Danio rerio: one gene and its partner. The protein of the gene in region 2 purifies or fractionates together with the protein of the main gene of each other region. This does not show direct contact. Links are inferred from orthologs where the notes say so. Each region holds a gene or a part of one and is shown on either strand. Other genes may lie near its edges.

Region 1 (3,008 bases), on a different chromosome or scaffold from region 2:
TCTGTACATCGCTGCATTCATCTTTCCCTCTATCCTGACTAGTCTTCCAGTTCCTGCTGCTGAAACACATCCCCACAGCATGACGTTCAATTTTAGTCTCAGAGCAGAGAGTTTAGTTTCTGATGCTCTGAGAGTCCTTCACATTGGTAAACTCCAGGCGGGGAGTGTCTTCCGTCTGGTCACTCTACCATACAGGCCTGATTGGTGGATTGCTGCACAGATAGTTGTCCTTCTGTAAGGTTCTCTTCTCTCCACAGAAGAACGCTGGAGCTCAGACAGAGTGACCATCGGGTTATTGATCACCTCCCTGACTAAGGCCATTCTCCCCCGATCACTCAGCTTACATGGCCGAGGTTCAGCGAAAGGCTGTGAATACTGATGTACACGTGATTTTACAGCTTTTTTATTTTCAATAAATTTGCAACAATTTTAAAAACTTTTTCACATTGTCATTCTGGGGGATTGTGAGTAGAATGTTGAGGAAATAAATTGATTTAATTCATTTTTGCATAAGGCTGTGACATAAAAAGTGGAAAAAGCGCTATCAATATTGTCTAAATGCACTGTATGTCATTGGGGTGATTGGGGAGAAAGAGTTATCAGCGTTTTTTTTTCCCTGTTGTAAAGTCATGCTGTGCGTAATTTCCTGTCACTGATCCATTATACAATGTGAACACAGCAGCAATGGATTTTGACCCCAGATAGTCGTGCAATGTCAATATTAAATAACTGTTCGAATGTTGAATTATGCTATAGTAAGTTCTGCAGTCTTTTTTACACTATGAATAACCTTTTTTTAACATTTCCAACACAATCTCATCAATCTGACTTTCTGACTCATGAATATATTGTTTCTGTGAGAGAGCAGATTTCACTCTACAGCATATCGTCTAAACAGCATATTGGTTAAGTGTCATTAATGTGATTCTCTCTTAATGATTATTTAAAAACAACATGGAAGTTCTACACATCATTTTTTAAAGAATTGGTTAAGAAACTCTGGTCAGGATCTACTACGCTTTTCAACGATGGTACATTTAATTGTCAAAAAACCCCTTAGTGCACCATCCACTAGTGCTTTTCCCATAAAAGACAGTCTTTTAACAATGCATTTGTTGTTACCAAACAGAAAAAAATACTACTAATAAAAAAAGAAGTCCATTGCATAAAAAATAAAGCATTTACAGATTTAAAATGTCTCAGTCCTGTGGCTTCATGAAAGCTCGTTTGGGTCTAATATCATCAGTGACGTTGCAGTTGACATCCTCTTTGTTTGAGACAGCACTGCGATCTCTTTTCTTGGCGAACTTTTTCCTCATGCTCTCAACCAAACTTTGATACCTGTAAAACAAAAGCAAAAATCAAGGTTTTCATCTGCTGGTGATGTCCACATTCGAAACCATTACAATTTTGTTTCGAACCAGTGGTTTCGGTGCGCATTTCCAATTGGCAAGGTCACAGGATTTCATTCAAATTGAGCTTCGTTATGGTCAATATGGTTTCGAAATTGCTTCCCCACAAGGGGGCGATCTGTGCAATATAAAATCTACAAGAATCACGCAGATTCATTCAGGTCGCCCCCCAGTGGCCAATCACTGAACAGGTTTCACTGATTGATCTCGGATTAGTTTTACAAATTTTGTTAAATATTTTAAGGAGATGTGTATAAAATGAAAAGGAGTAATGGTTAAAAGTAGCTAATAGTCTCCTCCTGGCCTGTTTAGCAGTTTAACAAGCAATATATAAGCCTTGAAAACATCTAAATGAAAGAACATTATGCAGAGACTTAACATTTAATGATCTTAGATGACGAGCCAAGTTTATTTATAGGTTAAACTTTCAATTTTAATATGTTTGGGAGTCAATTCTAATGCATCTTTTGTTTGAGTGTTGACCAGCAGGGGTTTCTAGCATGTGCGGTTTCGAATTGCTTTAGCGAAGTAATTGGTAAAATTGTTTAGACGCTTCATTTCATCACTATCCTCGTATATATATATAACAGATGTGTAGATTACAGATGTATTTGTCCTTGCTCACCTTTTGGCCATCTCTTCATCCGTAATATCGGTTTCCATTTTGTTCATGCTCTCGTCCTCCTCTTCTTCATCCTCTTCCTCTCTTGGTGCGTTCATTAGTAACATTAATTTCTGCAACAGATTCAGACTTGTGATGAATAAACCCCACTTTAGATTACAGGTGGCTATCAGTGGCTATAATTAGAGCAAGACGTGCATTTTCAGCTCATTGTTAAAGGCACAGTATGTAAATTTAGCCACTAGAGGGCGTGTATTCACAACAAACAAAGGTGTGTTTTGATGACTGAGTGAAAAATAAAGATATAATAAACTGTTCAAGTGGCTTTTGAATATGTTAATACAAATAAAATCATACATATTGTGCCTTTAGCTTATTCTTCAGATTATGCTCCAATAACGTGAACACAATAATTGAGAACAGTTAACAAAACGGAAGCAAACGGCTGTAAACGGATGAAAGCTGTACCTCCACGTCAGGATTGAAGCCTTTGAATGACATTCTGCCGTAAACCAGATCCTCACAGGGAACGAAACTTCTCTCCTCGATGATGTGGTTTCTGGCAAAGTTAAAAATACCTTGTAATTTTGTCAATTTAAGAGACATTTTGATAAACCATCAGATATCCATAAGGCAACGAATATTTGCTAATGTCAGACTGCATTAGAACTAGAATCATTTTTAATGGGGTACATGCATTAGGACTTTCATTTTAAAGTGTCCTGGTTCAAACGCTGTATGCTAGGGCTGTGCAATTTGGGGAAAATATCTTAATTGCAAAATTTTTTTAACAGATATTTAGATTTGATTTGCAATTTAATATTGTAGACATTTTAGGTACTGGTTGTATTTCCTCATGCCTGCAACAATCCTGCGGCAGCTCTTACAAATAACCTTTTTTTGTTTGGTGTCTGTGAACAAAATATTCCCATATCACTGACGTGCGTTTTTTTCTTTAATAATATTTAGTCTAT
Region 2 (3,937 bases):
GTTGAGGGCGTATGCCGACATCAGATCCAGTTTAGCTTGTTCAAGAGGATCCAACTTTATGAAGTAAAAAACAGGTTAAACATGATAGTTAAGCCATTTTCATTTATCAGCTTTTCATATAAACATTTTATACATACTTTAAGCAGACGGTCACTTCTGGATACAGACACCAGTGTCTGGACCATATTCTGGACAGAGCTCAAAGAAGAGTCGAAATCATTCAGGTTGTCTTCGATTTCAGTGGGATAATCCTCTACTGCAGCATCATCAGCCATGGTCTGTCAGCTGAATGGTAACATAAGAATATATTAATAAAAACCATTTAAGATAATTCATGATTCCTGCAAACTTTGGCCTAAAAAAACAGTAATTAATATGCGTTTTGAAATGACGGATCTAAGCATAACTGCTAAATTAAACCGTTTTGTTATTTTTGGGGATTTGTAGTCAATATTATTGAGGTAAAGTTGTTTTTTTATTCACACATTCAGACTTTCTTCTTAATAATATATTTTCAGAAAAATATTATTTGCTATTTCTAAATAGGGAGATCACATTATCAGCCAATGACTCTCAAAATACAACATTGTTCACCAAGTTAAATCGTGCAAATGTTGTTTTGAACTTGAAGTCATACTTAAATGAGATTTCAGACCGAATATTTAAAGTAACATGGCGAACTATGTAGAGACTGTTAAAAATGAACTAATGTGCGAATATAACCCCAACTTTACCTAAAAATCGATATTTGGCTGTTAGGAAAACGAGGGAAAATGCTTCAGAATTCAGTTGTGGACAGCAGATACATATTAAAAAGCAGTAAGTTACCAAATTAATAAGAAGTACAATACATATATATTTCTAACAACTGTGCAAATTCAGCATGAGCGACAATATGGAGATTAAGCTTTATGCACGTGTTCAGTGTCTGCGAGTTATAATCGCACACTTGTTGTCCTGTGTTGTAAAGAAAACCCTGAGACAGCTTACTAAACACAAAATCAACGTAAAATTACATATGAAGTTCGTTTAGGTTGTTTAAGAGAGCTATAATGTAATCAAGCACACATCAATACCTCTCCGTTGAGCCAAGAATAAATAAGCGACGGTCAATACACTTGTTTTTCAAAATAAAAGTCACGCGAAAAACATTTATTTTTCTTTATCTTTAATGGCGACTAGCATTATCGCCACCTAACGGACTGGGGGTCAGTTTAAACTTGCACAGTTTTTTGTTATTTTCATTGTGCAACAAAATCATTTCACATTCGTTAACAAGAAGGATTAAAAGAGAAAAGAAAACATTTAAATAAATAAAAATATTAACTAAAAAGGAGGAGAGGGTACATATCAGATTACATACAAATATACAGTTTAATGCATGGTAGATTTAGTTATTAACAAAAGTTATTCAATTTAACTTTCATTAAAGATAAGTCTGAAAATCTAATCTATCTATCTATCTATCTATCTATCTATCTATCTATCTATCTATCTATCTATCTATCTATCTATCTATCTAGTTAAAATTAGTACGTTGTTATATATATATATATATATATAATATATTATATATATTTTTTTCCTTTTTAATTCACTTACTGAGCCTTTTTTTCTTTATTGATTTTCAGGTGCTTTGAGAAATCCCCTGCTTTGCTTACATGCCTTTTAACGTGTCACGAGACTTTTAATTTGAAGTAGTGCTATTCATGTTTGGCAAGAGTCCAGTACACTAATGTGTTGTTGTGTACTTCTCAAAACGGTCATCCTCCCTACTGTTATTGTTTATCTGAGGAGCTTCTACAAGATGAATTTAGCTAAAAATAAATTATTGGTGAGTATACCTACGTGAATATTCAGTTAAAGTTGTCGTTACGCTGTTATTACAGTTCAGTCTTTTCTGTCAGGTTTGAATGAATAACTTGATATACATTTATAAAAGTCATGTACAGTCAGCTGATAGCGATATCGTATAAACACGAGACTTCTACGTTACCTGTAGTGATACTGTCGTTAAAGCCGTTTAACAGCTGTAAGTTACGTGTATTATTATTGTTATTAATACATACTGTAATACTGTAGCTAAACGTTGAGTCACATTTGTTTTCTTGGTTGTACAGATTTTGTCACACATAAAAAAACACACTCTCCTATAAGTTACTTCCTTTCTCTTTCTCTGACGACAAGCGCAAAACACTACAAAGTAACTAGTAACTGTAATTACATATCCAATTTCGTGAAAAAAATAGTTTTTTTGGTTATTTAATAAAGTTACTCACGATGTGCTTTCCTTGAGTGCTGTAAATCAATTCAGAGAAGATTTTTTTCAGGAGTTTGTTGTTGTTGTTGTTGTTGTTCTACTATCAATTATGGAAGTTTTATTTGTTTAACCACTTCACATGCGGAAGAAACAATAAGTAATACATTATTTACTGACAGAAATACATGGTATTTATGAAGTATGACTCCATTGCGTTTTATACAAATAATGTTCAATAAGTTAATTTAAGTTATGTGTATACATCATTATTCAGACAAATTAAATAGAAATCTAATCTAAATAAATTTTCAATGATGTAATTAGCAATTAATTACTTTTTAATTACATTTTTTATTTCCTAATATATATATTTTTTGTTTACAGGAACATCACTCATTAATCCATTAATTAACAATCTCTATAGTTTTAAACATTTTTCGAGTTTCAAAGGAAAAAAAAAGTTTTTTAAAAGAAAATAAAATCCTAACGCTAAAGCCAGACATCTGAATATTTATAAGATGCAACACACTCAATCCATGTGCCATTTCAAGTTTTATTAATAAAATCATTCATTTATAATATGAACCATGTAAAAATAATATTTAAAACAAGTTTTTTGCTTTTTATCTCTGAAGAGGTAATTTGCAAGAACTCTATTCTGGAAACATTCACAACTATTTGTGAATATATATATATATATATATATATATATATATATATATATATATATATATATATATATATATATATATATATATATATATATATATATATATATATATATAAAAATAATAAAAATATAAGGATGTTATAAATACAGGTCACAAAAAAATTTCACCCCAAAAAAAAAAAATAAATAAATAAATAAATAAATAAATATATATATATATATATATATATATATATATATATATATATATATATATATATATATATATATATATATATATATAAATTATTATTGTACTTTATTATATTATGTTATATTATATTATATTATATTATATTATATTATATTATATTATATTATATGTTATATTTACAATTTACAGTTCATTAAAAGTTTTATCATAAAATCAAAATGTAGTGTAATACATTATTATAACAAAATTTATTTGTATATATATATATATATATATATATATATATATATATATATATATATATATATATATATATATATATATATATATATATATATATATAAATTTACAGTTTGGATGGCATGGTGGCTCATTGGTTAGCACTGTTGCCTGACAGCAAGATGGTCGCTGGTTCGAGTCCCAGCTAAGCCATTTCTGTGTGGAGTTTGCATGTTCTCCCGGTGTTAGTGTGGGTTTCCTCCAGATGCTCTGGTTTCCCCCACAGTTCAAACACATGCGCTATAGGAGAATTAAATAAACTAAATTGGCCGTAGTGTATGAGTGTGTGTGAATGTGAGAGTGTGTTTCTCAGTACTAGGTTGAGGCTGGAAGGGCATCCGCTGCGTAAAACATATACCGGAATAGTTGGCGGTTCATTCCGCTGTGGCAAGCCCTGATAAATAAGGGACGAAGCTGAAGGAAAATGAATGAATGAAATTACAGTTTATCACAAATGTTCTTTCAAAACACAGAAAATGTATTAAAGTGTAATATATAAAATATTTTATAGTATATTATATCATATTAATATAAT

The links. The genes of interacting proteins can lie anywhere in the genome.
Region 1: the proteins of c1d (region 2) and mphosph6 purify together in Homo sapiens (co-immunoprecipitation; 3 studies listed by BioGRID and IntAct, counting the BioPlex papers as one, with this or other methods). This does not show direct contact. The link is inferred for Danio rerio from reciprocal best matches to the Homo sapiens genes C1D and MPHOSPH6.

The regions. Positions count from the first base shown.
Region 1 is NC_133200.1:38,538,585-38,541,592, forward strand, and holds the end of mphosph6 (M-phase phosphoprotein 6), read right to left. Parts: intron 2,693-3,008; exon of another isoform or gene 2,641-2,692; coding exon of another isoform or gene 2,594-2,640; coding exon 2,503-2,593; intron 2,148-2,502; coding exon 2,038-2,147; intron 1,342-2,037; coding exon 1,200-1,341; 3' UTR 501-1,199; downstream 1-500. UniProt on the Homo sapiens protein: RNA-binding protein that associates with the RNA exosome complex. Involved in the 3'-processing of the 7S pre-RNA to the mature 5.8S rRNA and play a role in recruiting the RNA exosome complex to pre-rRNA; this function may include C1D.
Region 2 is NC_133188.1:5,050,394-5,054,330, reverse strand, and holds the start of c1d (nuclear nucleic acid-binding protein C1D), read right to left. Parts: upstream 2,801-3,937; 5' UTR 2,280-2,800; intron 2,225-2,279; exon of another isoform or gene 1,997-2,224; intron 1,835-1,996; exon of another isoform or gene 1,748-1,834; intron 1,108-1,747; exon of another isoform or gene 735-1,107; intron 286-734; 5' UTR 276-285; coding exon 138-275; intron 55-137; coding exon 1-54. UniProt on the Homo sapiens protein: Plays a role in the recruitment of the RNA exosome complex to pre-rRNA to mediate the 3'-5' end processing of the 5.8S rRNA; this function may include MPHOSPH6.